6 linked regions of the Ovis aries genome follow. The protein of the gene in region 4 interacts with the protein of the main gene of each other region in a pairwise test. Links are inferred from orthologs where the notes say so. Each region holds a gene or a part of one and is shown on either strand. Other genes may lie near its edges. The genes, in order: LASP1, EHHADH, DTNB, ZBTB9, PIN4 and EIF4E2.

Region 1 (3,968 bases), on a different chromosome or scaffold from region 4:
TGGGTTTTCTTCTCCAGACCCACCCCTACCCAAAATGAAACACCAAGTTGGGGGAATCTTGCCTCCTGAACCAGCGCCTGGAACCGCCTTACACGACTGCGGCTGCCGCAGAAATCCCGGTACCTCCCGCATGGGTCGTGGGGACCTGAAGTTTTTGTACATGATTTGTTCCTGTACCCACCCCCTCCTGCTGCTGAGTACGAAGTCAAACCGAAAGCCTTCCGTTAAGGTTGGAGAATGAGGAAGGAATTTTAAAATAGCTTTTCTCTATTTCTCTAACCTAGGACCCGAGGTTAAAATATGAATCAAAAAGGAAATAATTATACTAGACAAAAATTAGGAAAAAACCGCCGAGGGGGCACCCGGATTTGAACCAGGGACCTCTTGATCTGCAGTCAAATGCTCTACCACTGAGCTATACCCCCACGCCGCGCCTTGGCTTGGATGCGGCTCTTTTGGGTGTTAAGACACTGCTAAAGGTGAACAGTAAGGGTAGGTAAGGAGAAAGAAACGCAAGAGAAAAAGGGATCGAGCGCAAAGCAGAAGCTCGCTGGATTCGGGGAACTACTGGAAAGCTGCACGGCAGAGGCGCGGGGACGCAAGAATTAACCCGGTCTGCGAGGGACTGAGTCCTGCAGGGAGGGACGGGTTCCGCCTTACAAATTGTGGGAGAGGATGTTGCAGGGCATGGCTAACATCTTAGGGGCGGGGCAGGGAGGGTTCCCGTAGATCCGCGGATTTCTCGCCAGGTACCGACGGGTACAAAGGAAATCCCCAAACCTGACGAATCTGGTTGGGTGTTCGAGTGGGTTCGAACCCCACCCTGGGCGGTTGCGAGGGGCTCGCCGGCCCTGCAGCCCAGGTGCCCAGATGTGCCACCGGATCGCCCCCGCCCCGCCTCCAGCGGCGGAAGAGCCCTGGGCAAGGTCGCCTGTTAGCGCCTGGCCTCCGGGCGCATTCCAGGGCCCTTTCTGCTTGCGAGCTCACCTAGGCGCGTACCGCTGGGCGCGCGGTCCTCCCTGGAACCCGCCCCCACGCAGTCCCACGTAGCCTGGAGAGCGCGCCTCGCCGCGCGCGCCCCTGCCCGCGCCCGCGGCGCGTCCCCGCCCCGGTACAGCCCCTCCTCCCCGCTGTGTTTATTAGGGGAAGGAGGGCGGGGGCGGAGGCCAGTTCCCTAGCTCAAGCAGCCGTCGCTGTCGCCTGTGCAGTTGAGGCCGCGGCCGTCTCCCGCCAGCTCGCTCCGGGGAAAGAGAACGCGCGCGAGCTCGGGCGTCCTCGCCCCAGCCTTTCCCGGAGCCATGAATCCTAACTGCGCTCGGTGCAGCAAGATCGTGTACCCCACGGAGAAGGTGAACTGTCTGGATAAGGTGAGACTCGGGACTGGGAGACGCGTCTTTGCAATCCCCGAGCTCCAGATCGGAGGAGGAGAGCGGGGCTGGGTCTCTGCCGCCCCGTTACCGCGATCCCGGGAGGAGGAAAGGTGGGTGGTGTCATGGGGCGTGAGGGACGGACCCCAGTCTGGAAACCAGGAGATCTGGGGCGAGGAAAGGAGTCCACGCGTGGCGGGCAGCCACTACTGGAGAGGAGTGGGCTCGGTGCCCGGGGGTGGAGAAGCCGGGCCCCGGAGTGGGGGTGGGGGGAGTGAGGGAAGGTTAGGGGTGCAGTCCCGCCCCCTAGGGCCGGGAGAGTGAGAGCAGACGGCCGCTCCCTCTCCCCGCCTCGCCGAGCGCCAAGTAGGCGGAAGCGCTGGGCGCTGGGGGAGGGGGCGGCGGGGGGGCGGGGCAGAGGTTGGGGCCCCTGCTAAGCGGTCCGCTCCGGCGGCTACTGGCCCGGCTTCCTGGCTTGGAGACTGGAGGGTGGGGGCCGTCAGCGGGCAAGTGTTGCGTCTGGTGAACTGGCCTTCGGATAAGGACCCGAGCCCCATTGAGAGAGCCCGTTTTTCGGACGACCTGCAGCCCTCTTGGTGGTTCAGCGGTTAATGGGCTAGCCTGAGTCCTCCATAGCTTCCCAGCCCCCACCTCAAATTAGAAGCCAACTCCCAGCGTTGGTCCGCCCAGCCGGACCCGGGTGGGGTCGCTTGCTGGAGTAGGGTGGTGGGGGGTTGCTTCACTGAGATCTCCCGAAATTGTGTTCAGAGGCTGAGTCCACCCTGTAGAACAAAGAGCTAACTTTTCAGAGCAGGTTTCCCCAATGGAGGGTGGGGTTGGCTAAGTTCAGGGGGAGCCAAGAAAAGGGGGGAGATGTTGGGGGAAAGGGAAGGTGGCCTTCTGGAAATTCACTGTCCCCTGGGGGCCCTTAGGCGTCTTCCTCCCCCCCCACCCCCATCATGCTGGACTCGTTCATCTGGTTGCCATTATACTTTTTGAAGGGGGGCGGAGAGTGGAACTGGGTATTTCCTGCAGTTTGGGGTAGGATCCGGACCTCTTTTAATCTAAGATCCTAAGGCAATCCATCTTCCCTCTCATTCCCTCCTCGGTCTGGAGGAGAGGCCTCTAGGATTTTGTCCCCTTCTTCATCATGCCTTTCATTCACCTCCTAAAGCTGCCCCCCTGTCCACACATTCCCTCTTTCCCATCTGGACTGGCCAGGGGTTGGGGGCCCATGGGATGGAAGAGGGTGCAGGGCCCACCTGGAGTCAGATATTTTTTGTGAGGGGGGAAAGGGTCGTTCCTTGGATTCTTTTGTCTTTCCCCTCCTTAGGGTTGGAGCTTCCTCAGTAACCTTTGGCCTCTGAGTCAGGGTGAGGGGGTGGGGTTCCATGGTTCTGAGATCATTTTGATACTGCTCTTGGAGGAACGGGTCATGCGGGGCCGCTGCTGTTTCAGTCTTCTCTCCTGGGCCTGGCTGGGCAGGAGGAGAGAAAGGCCATGTTATGGTGCAGTGAATGTGGGTGCTGACCTTCCCAAAGACCATGCGGGAGGGCAGGACTTGAGCCTGGGGGCAGGAGCTGAGAGCTCTCTGGCCTTGCACACTGGTGTTTCTGCTCTTCCCTGGTGGGAGGGATTTTGGCCTCTGCGTCTTGAGTTCCTTGTGCTCCCCTTCTGCACAGTCATGAACTGGGTAGAGGCAATGGCCACTTTCCACCCACATAAGGCGGAAGCAGTGTCTGCTGGAAGGACACTAGCCTGGGCGTTGGAACACTTGCTCCTAGTTCCAGGTCCGCTCACCACCAGCTCTGTGAATGGCTCCAGGCCTCAGTGTTCAGAGTCTATCAGATGGGTGTGATGATGTCATTTCCTTGAAGGTGGGGAAGTGCACCCGAGTGCCTGTCACAGTGCCTGGAAGGGGATGTGGTATAGGCTGTGCGCCCTCTTCTTTTCTGGGGTACTCTGTCCAGCCCCATACCTGGCTTTCCCTGTAAAGACCTTTGGTGTCTGAGGGGAGGGTGCAGCCCCTTTAAGGCGCCCTCCCCATCTGTTTTCTTCCCCTCTCTGGAAGAGGACATTCAGGTGGTGGGCACCCTGGGAAGTGAGAGTTGGCGGTTCCTCTCTCTTCCTACAGGAGGTTTCCCTGGGGAGATGTCACCCCTGCACTGAGCAGGAGGCCTGGAATATCCAGGTATTAGACTGGTTCCTCCCACCGCCCTCCAGGCAGTAAGGGCAGGCACTTAGAATGGGGACCTGACGCCTGAGGACAGATGTTCAGTCCCATAGACACAATTGCTAACCAGCTTCCCAAGACAACCCATTTACAACAGGAGAGAGTCAAATTAGACTCACCTGTTTCACTGCAATTTCCCTAGGACCCGACATGACCCAGAGCACAAGCTACATTCTTGGTGTTAGCCTTTCCTCCTCCTTGAGCCTTATCTCCCAAAGGCTTAGGTGAGTAAAAGCCACATCACCTCTGATGGCTACCCTACCGTCCACCTGCATTACCCAGCGTGTCCTCATGCTGAATAAATGTGTATGGCTGGCCACGGTGTTTGAGGTCGAGATTTGTTTCCCCAACTTATGGGATTAGAGTTG
Region 2 (3,500 bases), on a different chromosome or scaffold from region 4:
TGGACCTTTTTTTCAATATATTTTTGTTTACTTATTTGTGGCTATGCTGGGTTTTCATTGCTTTGTGTGGGCTTTTCTCTAGTTGCAGTGAGTGAGAGCTGTTCTCTAGCTGTGGTGCACGGGCTTCTCACTGTGGTGGCTTCTCTTGCTGTGGAGCACAGGCTTTAGAGCATTGCTCAATAGTTGCAGTTCCTAGAATCTAGAGCACAGGCTCCGTAGTTGTGGTGCAGGGGCTTAGCTTCTCTCATGGGATTGTCCCAGACCAGGAAGCGAACCTACATTCCCTGCATTGGCAAGTGGATTCTTTACCACTGAACCACCAGGGAAGCCTGAACTTGGGCCCTTGAAATGCAGCTTTTAACCTAACGCAGAATTATCCTTGCTGCTCTTCTGATTAATAAACAATGTCTTGTTGCAGGGGCGGGGGGGGGGGGGGGGGGGGAGAAGTATCAGCTATTATTTTAGACCTTCATTTCTATAAACTGATATTTTTTCATTTAATCACTAAAAATATACACGAAACCTGTAACTGTTTCCTTCAAAGAGTTCTTCACTAACTTCTCACAACCTTGTGGTCTCAAAGTTCTCAAGAAAGTAGGGCTGAAAGACCAAGCTTTTCACTGTTGGTAATTATGTTTTCATAGGTCAATACTGTATGCATATTGAATTTAGTTTCCTAAATTTTCCTCACTAAACACACACAGACAGGGACCAGGAGTCCTGTTCCTGGACCAAGTCACTGCCTTTAACTACCCTGGAATTAAACATCGTCAAGAATCCCTTCTACTCAAAGCAAATAAAGGATGAGGGATGCTTTGACTGCTGGCTCTTCAGTGTCTAGTCCACAGCAGTCGTCTCCCCTTCCGACAGACCTGAGAGCTCAGGCGAGGTGAAAGAAAGTGGACTTGCAGGGGTGCCGACCCACTCTGAGAGCACAGGCTCACTGAGGCGCAAACCTGGGCTCATCAGGGCTGGGGTTTTCCTGGGGGCCCAATGAAAGGACAACGAGTCACGGCTTCTGAGGATGTAGGCAAGGGAGTAGCTGAAGTGATGATTGGAAATGAAAACTGAATAGAGAAGGAAGTAAAGATTAAAAGAGCTTATCACATAACAGATGCAGTTGGAATAACTGAGAAAGGGATGTGGAGAAACACAAGGTTGTAGTGAAAAAGTTCACATTTCAGTGGTGGAGAAATGTTCAGGGTGAAGCCCGAAGTGTGGGTCACGGAAGTGAAGTGAGGCGAATGTCACTGGATCTGAGGAGGCGAAGGAACCCAGAAGCAACAGGGCTGGATGGATTCTCCACACAGGGGACGAGGACAACAAGGAAAGGACAGCAGGATTGGGGCCAAAGCGGATAACCGTGAGCCAGGCACTGAAATGAGGGCCAAGGCAGGGGAGCGCGGACAGTGATGAGGAGGGATAGAGCAGGCAGGGAGACGGCAGCAAAACAGAGGAAGAGTGTCCAGAAAGGGGTCACGGTCTGAGAGGGGAAGTGGGAAGTGGCAGTGCAGTCCAGGGAGTGTGGGAAGAAGCAACAGCCTTCTTGAGTGGGCTTCAGGAGAAGCAAGTGCCCAGGGTAAGTCAGGTTTCAGGCAGGAGACAGAGGGACAGCCACTGTGAACCAGATGAGGCTGTGGGTGCATTCCAGAGGACATGGGGCACAGAGGGAGGCTGCGTCACCAAGACCAAGGCGGGCAGAGCAGGAAGCAGAAAAACATGACGAAGAGGGAAATGACCAGCTCTCACTTTATTTTCATCCACATTGTCTTCTACATACTTTAAAAGCTTTTGCAAATATTTTTCAGAACAATGTGGTATATACTTAAAAAAAAACTTTGAACTTATAAACATTCCATGCCAGACACAAACCTGAAGTCTTTTTAAAAAGCTCACGATAAGGAAACGGAAATTCTCAAATGATGGTTGACAAACACGATACTGATAAAGAGTTTTTACTATTATTCTGCATTAATTTTTCTTGGCTTGAAGGAATACAGGAAAGAAGAAACAGGTACATACATAACTAGAAACAAATATCAGTGCTGCTGAAGGAATATAAAAAGGTACAATCAGTTCTTTGCCATACTATTTATCCAGCTCCTTAAAAAATCACAAGTGAACAGAGTCAGTGCTACAAGGAGCACAGCATGTTTGTGTTGAAGACGTACTAGTTTATTTCCAAATTTCATTGAGACAGCTTCAGACTAAGAAAATGTAGAGAAGGCTCTTTCATTCACACTGCACTGGTGCTAGAGAGCTTGGTGAAGATTAAGAAAGTTGGTGCTTTTAGTAAACTTTGGACCTCCTCTCCCAGAAGACTGTATACAGGCTAATACATACCATACTCCACTTACTCTTTCAGGGGATTTGGAATCCACCCAAGGCCATTCTTGGGCCAAGACTAAGACTAAGTGAAGTTTAGGATAGTGGCCCAAATAAGCCATTCGGAGAGCTAGCTTCTGAGGAAAGAAGGCATTTTGTTTGAGAAATTTTCAAGGGGAAAATGTAAGGAAGCCCATGTTTCAGGTAAAGATGAATTTGGGGATAGTGGCTTTGAATCAGGAGAAGTGAATGGATGCAAGGACCAGAAAGACACAACCTTCATTCCCAATCCCTAGCTATAGGAGTGACAGGCCACACCTTGAAATGTGGTACACATCATAATCTTGCTGGGAAACCCAGGGATGAGGGACATGTAAGAGGCAGAAATGAGTTTAAAAATGCCGAGAGTCTGGAATCACACAGATGTAGCATTAGAGGACTTGGGTTTAATTAGTTCACTGTTGAGAAGGCCTAGTGTTTCTAAGCCTCACATGCAAAGATAGTTCTTGGGCTGGGGTGAAAATTAAGTTAACTAAAAAAGTGATATGTTCAGCAAAGAGCCTGGCATGTAGTGGCCCAAAGCAAATGGTAGTACTTGACAAATGCAGATTTGGGGAGTGACATTGCTCATGTTCTTACCGAGAACGCCAACAGAGGAGATGGGTCGTCCCGACGATGTTTTCCAGGAAGCCCCGGAGGGAGTGGACCACTTATTTGCCATCCTCTCAGCAAAGAAAGCATATTGCAGGGCCTTGGCCTGCCCTGAGGTATTAAGGTACAGGCCCAGCTCCTTTTCCTTCTTGCTGCCCATGTCATATGGATATTGGACAGCAGCCTGGACTGCTCGGACACAGGCCTCCGGAGACAGCCACCCAGGGTACCGCTTCCGCACCTGCAGAAACGCTTCACTGAAAATGGCGTCCATGTTGGGCAAGCTCGGGACGGGCATGTTGCAGATTCTACGGGATTCTGGAGATAGATCTAAAAGAAAAAAGAAAGAAAATTTGGAACTGTTAACTTATATCAAAGGCTCGTGCGTATATAATAATAAATACTATTTAAGATAGTTTTCCATTAAATGATTAATTAATGTGTTTGTTTTTAAAAATCTTTTTAATTGGAGGAAAATTGCTTTACAACGTTGTGTTGGTTTCTACCATACAACATCTAGAACC
Region 3 (3,500 bases), on a different chromosome or scaffold from region 4:
ACACAATATTAAATATCAATTTGAATGGTCTGTTACGTTGTACTTTTAAGCTTGCCTTGTATTTTTCAAGTTTCTCAGATTAAAATACACAGACACGAATCAGAGCAAGAATGATGGAAAACAGACCACTTCTGCTCGGTCCAGCGCTCACATTGGGTGAAGCTGAGCTGAGGCCCCCTGTCAGCCTGTTCGGGGCAGCTGATTCTTTCTGTATGTGGGGTTTCTGAGCCAGCTCCCCAAAGATAATTATCTTCCTTTGAACTTATTGGCACACTTTGGCTTATATTTTCCCAGTCTTGCTTCCAAAGAGAACCCTAGTCTTTATGCCACCCTCAGTTGCCCTTCCTCTAAAGAGCCGCAGAGCCCAAATCTCAGCGGACTCCCTTTAACTGGAGTTTTAAAGCTTTTATCCCATGGCTCCCAGCTTTCTCCAAAACTGCACCAGAGCCTTCCCACGGAAGGCTCAGTGTCCAAGTAAACGTGTGTCCATTCTCACCCAGTCCCCACAGAATGGCTCAAAGAAGACTGCACTATGTGCTTGACGAGGGCAGCATGACAGGCCAGATGACTCGGCTTCTGAGAACTGCCTGCGGCTGGGCTCCTGACCCGCAAACTCATCAGGCACGTTCCCTGCAGCCCAGCAGCTGCAGAGGTGCAAAGCGCATGTCATTGCCCTGGGAGCAGAAGGGCTTGTTCCAGCATCTCCCGCTGACAAGCTGTGCAGCCCTGACACAGAGCTCTTACTCTCTTCATCCTTGTCTTTCTTCTCTAAAATGGATACTACTCGAGTCCTTATGAGGCTCAAATGAGATGATGCACATGAATGTGTTTGCAAACAGAAATGAAAGATGTTTGAGTGTTATTTCCCAGCTGTGACCCCAGCCCCTCCCAAATCCTCCACCAGCTACCCCGCTCCATCTGTCCACCTGGAAGGCCCTTCTACCCTCCCTCCCTGAGTACGCCTCCACTTTCCCTCCGCTTTTAGTTTATTCTGCAGTGTTCTCACTGCCTTGTCTCCTCCTCCCCCTTGTTCTCTCCCCTTCTCCCTTTTTGTTTCCCCGCTCCTTTGCTTCCTCTCTCCAGTCCTGGAGGCAGCCTGACTCTTTTCTTTCAAATCTGATCATGCAGTGCATTGCACCACGGAACTGAAGCCCTAGGTTGGCTCAGGTTGACTGAGAAAAAGCACTTGCCCCTTCCTCAAAGAGTTAAGGCACAGGAGATGACAGGCTTTCTCTCTTTGATTCTCCCAGGCTCAGGCCACAGGATCACCGCATACATCGCCCACTCACGGAGGCGGACGCCCCATACCCATGCCCGTGCGCTCCACCTCCGCCGGCTCCACCCCCACCCACTGCCCGCAGGACCCGCTGAGTGGAGTCAGCGGGGACATGCAGGAGGCCTTCGCCCAAGGTGAGTTCGGGAGCAGAGGAAAATGAAGCGCTAAAGGGGTTTGGAAACATGGACAAGACTTCTGCTGTGGTTCTCCCCGTTTTCTTTTGTGTGCTTAGCTTTCAATGATCAGATTTTCATGTACAGTAAAAACAAGTGTCGTGCTGGCCCCTTCTCATTCGATGGGCTGGTCTGCAGCGGGAGGTCTGCAGGCTTGTATGTGTGCGAGGGCCAGGCCTTCTGGGTTTCTGTGCTCTTTTTGAGGAGGGTTGTGGGAAGTGCCTTGTTCATTGGGCTTTGCCTCCTCCAGAGGAGTTGGATGGAATCATTCCCAAAGTTGAGTGCTTGGCCTGCAAAGTGTTTAGAGCAAGGAGGAGAAGGAGTCTAGAACTCTGAATCTGACCTTGCTGAAGGCACCTTGTCTGTGGAGTTAATGGCCTGCCGTGTTCTGTAGTGGGTGGAAGACGAGGCTGCTCAGGAAGTCTTGTCTTGTCTCGGGGCAGAGACGAGAGCAGGGAGGTGGAGCTGAGAGTAAGTCCTGGCCGAGGGTTTGTTCTGCAGTCCACCTCTTTGATTGTGGCTGAGAAGCGTGGAGGTGACAGGGTCCTGCCTTCGCAAAGGGAAGAGGGAGGAGAACCACGGCTTTGGGCACCAATGCCTGGGAGCAGGCGGAGCTGCTCGGCCCATCTTCCCTTAGGAGTCCACACTAAGTCCCGGGGCCGGCCGACTGAGGCATCTGCTCAGCTCTGTCTCCCCCACCCCCATCACCATCACCCACCTACCCACCAGGCATCGCCATCTGCTCTGCCTCTCCTCAGGTACGAGGAGAAACCTCCGCAATGACCTGCTGGTGGCTGCCGACTCCATCACCAACACCATGTCGTCCCTGGTGAAGGAGCTCCACTCAGGTGACGCCCAGAGCTCCCACCCGGCCTCCCACCTCCATCCTTGCCCCTGCCTTCCTTGCCACCCACCCGCTGTGTGGTAAAGCGCCTCCCTCATTTCACCGGGCGGCCTCCTTGCTTTCCAGGAACTCTCTGGATGCCTTCCCCTGTGAGCCTGTCTCCCACACGTGGTCACACACTTAAAGTTTCTCTTAAGAGCACGCCTTGTGGACCAGACACAGTTCTGACTTTAAAGGAACTTGGTTCCATCGGGCCCCTTCCTCACTTACTGTGTCTTCCACCTGGACTTCCTCCACAGCTGCTCTCTCCCTAGGCCTGCTCGGCTGTCTCGCTCGGAGCTTTCCTGGACGACGGGGAACCGAATCAGCCACAAAAGCTTGTGGACTTCCTCCCGCTGCCTTTCTGCTTCTCCTGTTTGATTTGGTTTTGAAACCCTATTCTTTCCTTTTGTCCGTGACGAGGCTCTGGTTTCCCTGGAGGTTCATGACCTGAGTCTGGTGCTTCCTCCACTCCACATGTTCAGTCTTATCTATGACTTCTTTCTCAGTCTGTCTCACAGCTATTTCCCATGATTTTCCCAAGACCCTTACCTCATGGCATATTTCCCCCTCCATGAAACCCAAGAAGGGGAGAAAAAAAAATAGGCCATTCCCATATCATCGTGTCTGCAAGAGTTCCCATGATTGAATCAGTTTTGAAGCCGCCAGATATTTCACTAATTTTTTTTAATGATGGTCAGATTCCCATATTTTATATTAAACAAACAGGTTTCCTTCCTAAGTGCTGTGGGTCACTCATACAGGTGGCCCTCTTTTATTTCCTTTCACCTAATATTGTGCTTTTAAATACCTTGAAGTAGCTTAACAAGGTTGTTGAGTAAAGATATAAAGCAGTTTTTCCATGGGCTATTCAGACACACGTACTTACTCAAACATAATACATTGAAATCATCCATACATACACTTAGGGAAGGCAAGCCTTGAGTAGTCCTTCAGACCTTTATAGGTGAAACCATACACTTTTAGAGTTGTCATGAGACAGGCTGAGGTCTGGCCAATGGCTTTGCTCTCAGATCTGCTGTTTTTGTTTAGAAAGGGATAAGGTTGGTGTTTCCAGTACAGTTGATAAGATGTCAGTTCTCCTGTTGAGGGAACAGGATGGTAACACTGTCCCCATTCTGGTACCATTTCTCAATCCCTTTTAGAA
Region 4 (3,979 bases):
ATTTTATTTTTAGGTCAATGGCCATCTCCTGAGTTCACTGATCACACTTCAGTCCCTGTGATCAATATGAGTGATAAGTGGTGGTCAAAGGTAGACAAGAGGCACAGACTGTGGAGGGAATACCTCTATTAAAGAGGGTTCTAAGTGACTCATGGAATTCTCAATTTGTTAAAGCGCTCAACTACAACATACAAAATAAAGGTGTTGAAAAAGTACCTACTGGTGAGAAAGTAATTTATAGACTGAAGGGTTTCCAGAAAATCATAACAAAAGAAAAGTATATAAGACCTTTACTCATAAAATTTCAGCAATGATGAGGGAAAAGTAAAGCTTAGAGCTTAGTCTCTGGATTACTAGAACTCTGAATCAAACACATCTCTAGATGGAGACCAGCTCCCTTAACTTCTCATAGAGACTGAATTAAACATTTATCATAATTTTTCTTGCTCTAACTCCTCTCTCATCAAATAAAACTTCTAATCTGAAATTTAATCCAGTTTCCTGTATGAAAGGATCGATTACAGGCAACTGATCAGTATATCTAGGGCCTGTAAACCAGTCTCCCGGAGGATAGTTAGCAAAAACCTGGAGATGAGAAATCAAGTTTTCAAATCTGTCAGGTTGAGGCCCACATCCAAGAAGAGATCCATAATATATCTATCCTTGTGGAATAACTAACAAGATATGACGTTGCTGCTAGTCCAGTGGTTAGGACTCTGCACTGTCTACTGCAGGGGTGCAGGTTCAATCCCTGGTGGCATGCTACGAGGTATGGCCAAGAAAAAACCACCAACACCAACATCAAGATACAGGATTAGGGTACTGTGGTAGTGAGCGGTAATAAGTATCCATCAGCAGTAGTGGCTCCCTTGTCCTGAAAGTTAGCATATGGCCTTAGCAATCACTTGTAAGTCCAGTGAGCAGTGGCCCAGCCCTGACCCTTGCAGAGGTCCCTATGGCGAAGGAAACAGGCATGGACTCTGAACCGGCGACCACAGTGAGGACAGGCATGTAGGGCTCCAGCATGCGTCTTCATATGCTCTGTCAGGTGGTGCTTCAGCTTGAAACGCTTGTTGCAGATGCCACAGCCAAAGGGTCGAAGGCTGAATGTCAGCATGATGTGCCGGTCACGCTTTGGCTTCACTGCAAAGCGTTTCCCACACAAACAACCAAAGCGTTTTCCATCTGCAGGGGGAGCGCCACCTAGCTTCACAGGCCCATGCACAGCCTGCCCTACTCCCCCAGGTCCCCCACCCCCTGATAGGATTTCATTCCCATGAAGATCCACTGGTTTCCAGGATGGATCACCTCCTCCAGATGTTGTCCCTGCTCCTGAGGGCAGCAGGAACCCTAGTTGTCCATTCTCTTCAGTGTTCCCTGCTGGAAACACTTTGGTCTCCTCCTTTGCTCCTACAGACTGACTTCCGCCTCCAGCTATCTCCTCCTTGGACTCAAAGGGTTCCTGCTTGATGTAGAAGATTTTGGGGGGCAATGCAGTATGAGGAGCAGGAGGCTCAGGTGGGGCACTCTCGCCCTCTGGAACTCTGCAAGGAATAGTGGATGTGGGCAGGGGGTAGGATACAGGAGGGGGAGGAAAACTCCCTGATCCTCTCTGAGGCTGAGGAGTCTGACAGGGTGCTGCTGACCCTTGGTCCTCCTCATCTTCTTCCTCATCTTCCTCTTCAACCTGAAGCTGTAATATATCTCCCAGTTCACTCCCCTCCCCTCCAATCGAGCTCTGGTTAGAAGCAGAAGACTGTGCCGGGGTCTGGAAAGGAGAAGAGCGGATGGACCAGCCTCCTGTGGTGGAAAGAAGTGTGTGGAAAGGGGCTACTCCTCGGGACGAAATCCCACCACCTGCGTTTTCCAGTTCTCTAAGGATCTCTGAGCACTGATCTACCACTTGCCACATCTGCAGGCCACTGGCCACAAGAAGGTGTGCAGGGAGAGCATCCAGGGGCAGACGGAGGTGCCCCGAATAAATGAGCTGGAGCAGCCCCTCGAAGGCATCGGCTTCGATAACGCTGGGTAGGGTGAGACGCGGTGCATCCCCCAGAAGTAGTTTGTCGTGGAAGTAAGGAGAAGCGGCGGCCAACACTGCTTTGTGGGCCCTCAGTTCGCGGCCCTGCACCAGGAGAGAGACGTCACAGAACTTTCCCTCCAGCCTGTGGCGGTTCAGGGCCTCCAGCAGCAAAGAACTGTGCTGAGGGAACTCGATCTGGATCGTCCGTGGGGCTGGGTTGCAGGCTGGGGAGGGGGCTACAGGAGGCAAAGGCGTCGAGGTATCCATGGCCTCCTGGGGAAGAAAGAGATCCCAGAGGGTCGGGTACAGGAGGTGAGAGGGCGGGGGAGAGCCCCTGCGCGACGAGGGCTGTGGAGGAAAGAAGGGGTCACAGAAGCTGTGGATAAAGACAATCGTATCTCCCCAAGCAACGTCCGCCTCCGCTGCACCCCAACGTGTGGAACTTTTCGGTAGCCGGTGGTTCGGGCAGAACAGTCCCACACACTCCCCCGCCAAGAAAACGAAAACAAACCACAACAAAACACCAACCGGGGATTGAACTTGAAGGGCCTGTGGCGAGGAGGAGGTCCTTCAGCCGCGAGCCGGATCCCGCCGGCCCGGTCGGCTTCTTCCCACCGTTCCGCTCCCCAACTCACGTGCCCGCAGAGTCCAACTCCCTGGCAGGTACCCGGGGACCGCGAGCGCCAGCCACTTGGCCCTTCCTGTCGCCACGCCCCCACGGGTACACACGCGGTCCTGCGTCCAGAGCGGCTCTGCAGCAACCGCGCCGCCTCGGCCGGAAGCCGCCTCCTCCCCGCCGGAAGCGGACCCCCGGGGAGTTGGGCGGGGCCAGGGAGGCAGCCAATCGGAGGGCGCCGGCCTACAAGCCTCACGTCGATTGGTCATGCCGGCGAGAAGGCGGTCCTGGCGGGAGGCAGTACACCCGGCTGGGGCCGCAGAGGGGATGAGAATGCGCAGGCGGTACCGAGGGTGCCACCAGTGAGCCGTGCCAGTGATTAAATGTAACGCCTGCCCCCGATGGGTGCTGAGATTAAGAGGACACCTAGCGTATTAGGTATTGTTCATATCACCTTCTATCCCACGCCCCCTCCCCCGACCCGCCACCAGCGAGGTAGGAGTTCCCATCCTTTCCTCAGGGGAAGCCGAGACGGCAAGTGCTGGCTCAGGGGCCGACTCCACAAGGCTGAGGCACCAAGTTCTTTCCTCCGTTCCGTACGGGAGCACTTTAACCAACAATGAAATAATCTTCTCTTCTAGGTAATTACTTTTAAGGGACATGTAGATGTACACTTATTTTTTATCAGATACTGCTGCTGTTCCTTAACCTCTTTTCTCTTGGGGTTAAGTGGCGCAATGGTGAGACACATGGGGGAAATTTGGCCTGTGCAAAAACCCCTACTCAAAACAATCTTGCTAGTTGGGAGAGCGATATTCTAGGGCCAAGACTATGGCGTCACACAAGGATACAGAATTTCTCCCAAGCTGTCAGCTTCCTCAAAAAGCAGTTCCTGTCACCATGCTGATCCTCCGGGAGGTCCGAGACTAGGAAAGTCAGCACCGCGGTAAAAGAACAATCTCCGTTTATTAAACATGATTTTTCTGTTTCACCACACACTCCAGAAAAAAAGGAAATGGGGCTGGGAGTGGAAGGGGCAGTGGTGGGGGAGAGAGTAGGCTGGGGGTGGGGTGGGGTGGGGAGGGAGAACGAGAAAACAAAATAAAACAGGTAGGAAGAACATCTCCCTACCCTTATTGGGGGAGAGGGAATCGTGGTGGGGAGGGGGCCAGGAAGCGCTGTACAGAGGGGTTGCCCCCAGCCCACACACACACACCCCGGATATGTACAGTACAAATCCCAGATAATTACAACAGCCAAAGAAGAGAGGAAAGGAGGTCCAGGGGTAGGGTCTGAGGTTGGGAAAGCAAGGAAGGGCACAGGGATAAAATTTCACATAT
Region 5 (4,236 bases), on a different chromosome or scaffold from region 4:
TGCTGCCGAAGGGAGCATCACTTTTGTGTTATCTTGATCTTCTGTCAGTATTAGGCTAGCCTTAGGATGAGTTAAGCATGCTGTCTTTTCCTTTTATGTGTACCAAAATAACAGATGTATATGTTATTTATATTTAAAATGAAAAAAAAAAAAAAAAGAAAAGAGCAGAGTAACTCACCTTTACTGCATTGCCACCACCTTTGGGACCCTGAGCCTTCTTCTCAGAACTCTCACTCCCAGAGGCTGCTTTTCCTTTAGAGAAGAGATGACAAGTACTCATTTAAACTACACTTTCACCTTATTATTCAACACAATAGGAGTTGATACTTCCATCACAGCACCAAGCTTCAAAAGGGAACTCTGCAGACACTTTACATCAAGCGAAATTAACCTGTAACATACCTCTTAAAACAAGAAATTTGTGCCTTACAAAAACCCTTCATGGAAAATGGATACACAAGTGAGTGTGCTAATAGTTGAATGGGAGCACCAAAAACCTGGCCTGATTTCTCTAGACCCAGTTTGAAATCCTGCCTTCTAAGAGCAAACCCTGGAGCTCTTGTGAGATTTCTAATAAGCACGGCAGCTATGTACTTGGATACTCACAATTATAGGAGGTAAAATGTCCAAGAATATATTTTAAATAAAGATCAAATTTCCTACCACCCATATTTGGGTAAAGAATACATTCATGTCCAAACTCCTGGAGTCAATGACATTGCCTACTGATAACCTTCCTAAGAAGTTATCAATATTCAGATTAACACAATGGGCAGTATTTTACATTTTATTACTGTGTCATTTTGCTACTATGCCAGTTTCTGTTTTGATGGCAGCATATTTACTGTTAGAGGCTGATGTTCCTAAGAACTATTGTTGGTTTAAGTGTTCAGTTCATAAACATTTCCTAAGTAACTAAGTTCCAGACACTGGAGATACAAAGATGAACAAGCCCAAATGGCATAATACATTCCTTCAGGGGGCTCATATACTACTCGGGAATATCGTTATGTAAAATCATGTAAAAGATCATTTCAGGAGGATGAGCTATGCTGTATAAATAGGGGGCTGTGGAAGCACAGAGGTACATTTTAGCCAGTTAAAGAAGGTTTCCTGGATGAGTAGGAGCTGAACAGGCAAAGACAGGACAATGGTGAGGAGAATTCCAGGGTAGGGGAACAGTGTAGTATGTGGGGGGAAACTAGGGACGAAGCCAAATCTGAAGTGGGAGTGCTGTGAGAGGAACCCAGGGGAGGTGGCTGAGGGTTAGGGCATGAGGGCCTTTGAGCCCCATTAAGGAACTTGGAATTTATCCTAGAAGTAATAGGGACGCATTAAAATTTTATTCAGGAGACTCCATCCTGTCTTAGGAACCCCAATGCCGAGCACCCAAAAGTTGTTCAATAAATGTTCCACAAAACTGAATATCCAAAATGCCAACCACCAAATGCCTAAGAAAATGTTACTGCCAAAGGAGTTTTATTACACTAAACTTATTTTCTCTAGAACAAAGATGCCTTCTGGTCATCCCACCCCCTGCCCCAATGGATGCTATCATCTTCTGAATGCCCCTTCACTCCCTCTGACTGAGAACTCTGGCAGCAACTTCAGGCTTCCTTTCCATCCTCACTACTGCCCTAATCTTGGGTGACTTCACTATCTATTCAGAGGAACCATCCAACAGCCTAACCTCACATTTCTAGACCTCCCTCCCAAATACCCATGCCTTTTACTCCAGGCCACCTGTTCCCAGGGGCATGTGATCAAACTGTGCCACTCACAACTAATTCAATCTCTGGCTACAACTTTCTGTTCTTCCAGCCTTCTCATGCCTCACTCCCACAACACAGGTTCTTTAATGTCACAGAAACACCTCCTCCTTCCCCCCATTCAGTTCCTTTATCCTCCTATGTTCTCCTATGCTATCAAACTTCTTCCCTTCCCAGTCTGGATCCCATGCTTGATCATCTGAACCGTGTCCCTAGTGGCATTCGTAATTCCCTTGTGTTGCTTTTCTTCTATTATCATTGTCCAACAAAACCTCAACCTTGGCTACAGGTTATACTTAGCTCGTCTCAATCCTGTATTGTGCCAGTTATATGGTACTAGGTAAATCATGACTGAGCAGATTGTGTCCTACAGAAATTCATAGCCTTCAATCTTAAGCTCTCAGCCCTAAGGGCAATCCTTTTTTAAGTGTTTCATCCCCTCTTACCACCCCAATGACTATTCCAAACGCTTAACACTGTCCTCAAGACCCCTACTCAGTACTTGCCCTGCTGTTTTAAAAACTACTCTTGCCTTCCACTTTTTATCACCACATCCATCTTCATCTCTGTGACGTCAAGCTTAAGATGTCCCTTCTTCTCAAAGTCAACTAACTGCTCTACCTCTTTTTTCCCAAATTTCACTACCCTGTAGCTTTACCTAACTAATGGATCCTTCATGACAGCCTCACTCCCAAGTTTTGCCCATTCGGAAGAAACTAACAAAATCAAACTTTCTTGTAATCCTTTCTCCTCTTCTATCCACCATCTAATCCCCATGCTTTTAAATAAAAACTGAAGTCTGTATTGATTGTTTCTAACATCACTTCCTGGTCAGTCCTCTAGTCACTGGCAACCCGCTGCCTCCGCCCCGGACCCCGGCGGTCTGCTCCCTCCGCCTTGCTCCTCACCCAACCCCATTTCTTCTTGGTTTCTACCTTTTCCCCCTTTTCCAGAACCGCTTTTTCCTTTCGGGGGCATTTCCAAAATCTGCCGTTGAACTCTCAACTGCTTAGGTTGCCGCACAAACCCCCTTCAGGCCCCACCGGTGTGTCCTAAACATATGCCAGAAAGCGGCATCGCAATTGGCCATCCTTACCGTGGCTCCGGAAGCAGGCATATCTTGGGGCAGGCCCGGTCCTTTGACTCTTGGGCCAATGGGGCTGAAGCTCGGACCGGGGCAGAGGGGCGGAGGCAAAGGTTGGGCGGGGCGGGGGGAGTTACGCCTCTGTGCTTTTTGCGGCTTCTTTCACACGCCCTTCTTTGCGCCCTTTCCCCGACTGCCCTACCCGCTTCCTCCACGCGTGCGTAACGGAAGCCGGAGGGGTGGGGGTTGGGGGGCGCCTCTGCAGTCCCTCGGCGCGGGGTTCCAGCCAATCACGCGGGGCAATTAGACAAAGGCATAGCCGGAAGAACCTCGGCGGCCGCCTACCCCTTTCGCGCACTCATACACACCGGCCTGCCCTTCGTTTTAGGTTTTCGCTTTTAGTTATTTTACAGCTTGTAGCGAGGCTGTATAAGTGGCTGAATTTGCCCAAAGCAGTGCCTCAAGTAGTTCAAAGGAGAAAATGATGGGCAGAGGCGGACACAACTGAGCGACTAACACTGCTGCTGCTGCTGCTAAGTCGCTTCAGTCGTGTCCGACTCTGTGCGACCCCATAGACGGCCTCCTACCAGGCTCCTCTGTCCCTGGGATTCTCCAGGCAAGAACACGAGTGGGTTGCCATGTCCTTCTCCAGCGACTAACACTACTACTGTTAAATATTTGCTGTAGTTAGTACCTGTGCAGCTTCCCTGGTGGCTCAAAATGGTTAAGAATCTGCCTGCAATGTAGGAGACACAGGTTCAATCCCTGGGTCCAGGTTCCTTCCTGGAGAAGGAAATGTAAGCTTCCCTGGTGGCTGAGAGGTTAAACCGTCTGCCTGGAATGCGGGAGACCTGGGTTCGATCCCTGGGTTGGGAAGATCCCCTGGAGAAGGAAATGGCAACCCACTCCAGTACTGGGAGGAGCCTGGTAGGCTACGGTCCATGAGGTCGTGTCGGACACAACTGAGCAACTTGACTTGACTTGACTTTATAGGATGTAAAGAGAATTAAACAAGTTTGTAAAGCACATAAAACAATGACTTGCTTGTGGAGTGTTAGCTTAAGGTGAATGAGTTTTGAATTTACATCCTCAAACTTTTTACCCTTATCCACAACCCCTCTTCTCCCGACTTTTGTAAGATCAGGGCTTTTCCTCCACTTCATGCGATAGCTCTCTCAGCTTGCCCATGCCAGCCAGAATGGTCCTCCAGCTCAGAGCTTAGTTTTTGAATTGAGTCTTGTGGGACTTCAGATGCTACTTGCCAGCGATCAGGTATTTCTGAGACTGCCACCCCGAACTCATGCGTTACAGGCAGCCCCCTGTTTTACTGCTGTCATTTCTGAACAGGCACAGTTTAGGCACTCCTTGGTTTGGATTGGTAGT
Region 6 (3,500 bases), on a different chromosome or scaffold from region 4:
TTTATCTGTTTATTCATCAGATATGCATATATAATGATAATCACATCATCTGACTATGTTGAGTTGATATTTCAGCCACAAGCAAAGATCTTGTATTAGTTGGCCTGTGCTGTCTTATTACTGTTAAATTTAGACTTTTTTGAATTATTAAAAGTAACTGTGCACTGGTACATATTTGGTTCAAGAAAAGTTTGTTGAATGAATTTGGGGCATAATAGGGTTCTAAAATGACTAAAAAACCTTGCCCTTAGGGAAATAAGACATGCCCAGGAATTTCTAATATAGGGAGGCAGTTTAGGAGGTGCATAAATAGCTAGAGTGCTCTTGCAGTTCAGAGTAAAGGGATTCATTTCAGCCTGGAGAAGCCTCTTTTGAAGGGAGATGGGTTTAAGATTGAATTCAGAAAATTTGAACAAGTGATAAGATGAAGGAATTCTTGGAAGAGAGAACAGTAGAATTAAAAAAACTATCCATGTCATCCTAACATTCCTGAATCCATTAAAATTTTGATAGCTTGCTAGACATTTCAGGTAAAATGACAGCCATTATGTTATGAACAACTGATTAAGCACTTAGGATCAGAGAAGAAACTGAACTCTGGGGAGTCAGTTTTCATTCAGGATTTTGTTCAGTTATTTTAGCATAGTTGTAACTATTTCTAGCGTTTTTCTTTCCCGCTTAAAGAAAGCATGTGTGAATGTTCCCAGCTTGTACAAGGAGAGCTTTTGTTTTCTTTGGACATATGTGCTAAGTTGAACAGTTTTATCATCAACATCATCTTGGGTTAATGCTGCTTTATACTCACCAATGCATGTAAGTCAAGGCATTGGGAAGTGTCCCACAATATTCCTCACAGAAAAGTAATTACATTTTGAAACTAATGATGCTAAAGTAGTATTTCCCACTAGTCCTCGATCCTAGTATTTGACAGCAAATGGCAACCCACTCCAGTACTCTTGCCTGGAGAAGCCCATGGAGGGAGGAGCCGGTAGGCTACTAGTCCATGGGGTCGCAAAGAGTCGGACATGACTGAGCGACTTCACTTTCACTTCAGAAGTTCTTGAGGTGACTAAGAAAACTATATCTTGAAATGAAAAAAGCGTTGGACATTCTGCTGCTTGACTGTGAGCTGGGGCAAGTTCTGAAACCGTTTTCTCAATTATAAAGCAAAGAAAGTAGTTGAGATGATTTCTAAAGTCTTTTCTGCATTCCATGTTCTGAATCTAAACATTTATTTTTTGGTTCCAGTTGAAAGTTTTAAAAATGAAAGTTGCCTTAAGAGAATGAAAAAAAAAGGTTTAATACTATTTCTCAACCTGCCTATTATTTCATCTCTGTTGTGATTTGGGTTTAGAATTCTGGCTATAAGATTGTAGAGAATGGCTCTCAGATTGGTGGAGACCAAACTGTTAATAAAGCAGTGCCCCACTGGAGGATTGGGGGTGATTGGTATGCTCTGTCCCCACCACTTCTGTCAAGTCCTTATTCACAATGAGCCACAGTTTCTAGAAGGTGAGCTTCATTTCTTTGCACTGTGTTGAATTGAAGTGAAGTGAAGTCGCTCAGTCATGTCCAACTGTTTGCAACCCCATGAGCTGTAGATTACCAGGCTCCTCTGTCCATGGGATTTTCCAGGGGATCTTCCCAACCCAGGGATTGAACCTGGGTCCCCCGCATTGTAGACAGACGCTTCACCGTCTGAGCCACCAGAGAGGTCCTCCTTTGCACTGTGTTAGAGTGGGGAAAAGATTATTGCTCGTTGTATGCATAGGACCATTCACTGACCCAGATCCCTGGGTACCATTAAGCATGGCACTGGCTGAGGTGAAATGCTGAGGTGAAGTCCTGCAGATGGCTTCGTTCCTAATTTCCTTGTAACGTGAGATGTTGCCCATGTTTCTGTGCTCTAGAGGATTGAGAGGCACCGCCACTTCACACAGTCTGGGGTTTCTCCTCAGTTGCTATCCAGATCTGGGGGTGTGACCTGAATCTGTCTGCATGGTACCTGTTTTTACCTGCACATTATGGAATCTTGCTTCATGTTTATTTAGAGCCTCTTCAGCAGTTTCTTGGCAAATACCAGCTGTTTGCTTCAGACTGTTTCACATTTTTTCTTTACTTGTAAAGTGTGCACTTGACTTTCCGGTACTTTGTAGGTGTTCTCTGTGAATTGCAGAGGAATAGGAAAGTAATCAAGGGCTTCCCAATCGGGAAGCGCCACTAGGCGCTAGTGGTAAAGAACCCGCCTGCCAATGCAGGAGATGTCAGAGATGTGAATTTGATGCCTGGGGTGGGAAGATTGCCTAGAGGAAGGCATGGCAATCACGCTAGTATTCTTGTCCTGGACAATCCCATGGACAGAAGAACCTGGTGGGCTATAGTCTATAACATCCCAGAGAATTGACCAGAGAATTAACTTCAGTGAGTTAGCATGAATGCATGCTTAAAATACAGGGAAGTAATTTCTTCTTATCAAATCACTAGTGAGAAAAACAAATAGTGCGATAAATATAAATAAGCATACATTTTATAGAGAATATGTATGATTTTCTAACAGGACTGTGAAGGAGGAGCAAAGAGAAATTTTATAGCTAAGAAGAGAGACTTAAACCCTGAGTGAGGAAGCCTGCTTGGTTTTTGGACCATCTGGGCCTTAGCAAGGGCACCATGGTATGGAGTAGCCCTGCGGTTGATTCTGTCACTTAATGCTCAGTAACTGTTTCTATAGAAATAAAATGTACTTCAGTGTAGCTAATGCTGTATTTTGACAGTAAACCTCTGATCAAGAAGTGCCCAAACTTGCAGTTATAAATAAGTCATGGGCATGTACTGTAGAGCACAATGACTAGTTAATTCACAATGTTAATAATACGGTTTTTTTTTTTTTTTAAGTGATTTGGTTCAAGCTGAGGTTGTGTGGCCCTGAATATACCTCAAACCTAAGTGGTTTTTATCGTGTAAAACAAAGTCCTCCTATAGCATGTGGTGATTCTCCTGCGGCTTCCACAGGAGGATGCGTATTGACATTTTACCAACTAAGGCTCCTGGCTGAGGCTGGCATTTCTCACCTAAAGAGTTTATTCTTGTGTTGACAGTATGACACTATTCTTTTATCAAAATAGATAGTCTTCTTCCCTTCAGCATGTTGTTCTTCCCCCACAATCCCCAGAATGAACATCTGTCCTCCAAAAAGTAAAGCCTCTAGCAGAGTGTCTTCCGTGGTTATGCACTTCTCTTAAATCTCCCATTCGCTCAAAGAAAAAGAAAGTGCCTCTCTTGACTCTGCTGTGCTCTCTCTGCAGGTGGAGCAGTTCTGGAGGTTTTACAGCCACATGGTGCGTCCCGGGGACCTGACAGGCCATAGCGACTTCCATCTCTTCAAAGAAGGAATTAAACCCATGTGGGAGGTGAGAACTGAGAGCCTTAGACTGTTTTTCTGAGGAAGTTTTCTGTTTTTTGGGGTTTTTTGTTTGGTTTGGGGGTTAGTGCCAGGTGTTGGC

What was found.
Region 1: the proteins of ZBTB9 (region 4) and LASP1 interact in binary tests that used the Homo sapiens proteins (3 or more experiments, as listed by UniProt). The two-hybrid records come from large-scale screens. The link is inferred for Ovis aries from reciprocal best matches to the Homo sapiens genes ZBTB9 and LASP1.
Region 2: the proteins of ZBTB9 (region 4) and EHHADH interact in binary tests that used the Homo sapiens proteins (3 or more experiments, as listed by UniProt). The two-hybrid records come from large-scale screens. The link is inferred for Ovis aries from reciprocal best matches to the Homo sapiens genes ZBTB9 and EHHADH.
Region 3: the proteins of ZBTB9 (region 4) and DTNB interact in binary tests that used the Homo sapiens proteins (3 or more experiments, as listed by UniProt). The two-hybrid records come from large-scale screens. The link is inferred for Ovis aries from reciprocal best matches to the Homo sapiens genes ZBTB9 and DTNB.
Region 5: the proteins of ZBTB9 (region 4) and PIN4 interact in binary tests that used the Homo sapiens proteins (3 or more experiments, as listed by UniProt). The two-hybrid records come from large-scale screens. The link is inferred for Ovis aries from reciprocal best matches to the Homo sapiens genes ZBTB9 and PIN4.
Region 6: the proteins of ZBTB9 (region 4) and EIF4E2 interact in binary tests that used the Homo sapiens proteins (3 or more experiments, as listed by UniProt). The two-hybrid records come from large-scale screens. The link is inferred for Ovis aries from reciprocal best matches to the Homo sapiens genes ZBTB9 and EIF4E2.

The regions. Positions count from the first base shown.
Region 1 is NC_056064.1:39,207,227-39,211,194, forward strand, and holds the start of LASP1 (LIM and SH3 domain protein 1), read left to right. Parts: upstream 1-1,168; 5' UTR 1,169-1,298; coding exon 1,299-1,367; intron 1,368-3,968. UniProt on the Homo sapiens protein: Plays an important role in the regulation of dynamic actin-based, cytoskeletal activities.
Region 2 is NC_056054.1:202,710,306-202,713,805, reverse strand, and holds part of EHHADH (peroxisomal bifunctional enzyme), read right to left. Parts: intron 3,307-3,500; coding exon 2,965-3,306; intron 1-2,964. UniProt on the Homo sapiens protein: Peroxisomal trifunctional enzyme possessing 2-enoyl-CoA hydratase, 3-hydroxyacyl-CoA dehydrogenase, and delta 3, delta 2-enoyl-CoA isomerase activities. Catalyzes two of the four reactions of the long chain fatty acids peroxisomal beta-oxidation pathway.
Region 3 is NC_056056.1:32,798,221-32,801,720, reverse strand, and holds part of DTNB (dystrobrevin beta), read left to right. Parts: intron 1-1,250; coding exon 1,251-1,410; intron 1,411-2,207; coding exon 2,208-2,297; coding exon of another isoform or gene 2,298-2,377; exon of another isoform or gene 2,378-3,500.
Region 4 is NC_056073.1:7,781,831-7,785,809, reverse strand, and holds the start of ZBTB9 (zinc finger and BTB domain-containing protein 9), read right to left. Parts: upstream 2,801-3,979; 5' UTR 2,659-2,800; exon of another isoform or gene 2,552-2,658; intron 2,372-2,551; exon of another isoform or gene 2,297-2,371; 5' UTR 2,291-2,296; coding exon 902-2,290; 3' UTR 1-901. UniProt on the Homo sapiens protein: May be involved in transcriptional regulation.
Region 5 is NC_056080.1:64,766,881-64,771,116, reverse strand, and holds the start of PIN4 (peptidyl-prolyl cis-trans isomerase NIMA-interacting 4), read right to left. Parts: upstream 2,801-4,236; 5' UTR 2,748-2,800; coding exon 2,705-2,747; intron 253-2,704; coding exon 179-252; intron 1-178.
Region 6 is NC_056055.1:234,170,836-234,174,335, forward strand, and holds part of EIF4E2 (eukaryotic translation initiation factor 4E type 2), read left to right. Parts: intron 1-3,302; coding exon 3,303-3,407; intron 3,408-3,500. UniProt on the Homo sapiens protein: Recognizes and binds the 7-methylguanosine-containing mRNA cap during an early step in the initiation. Acts as a repressor of translation initiation.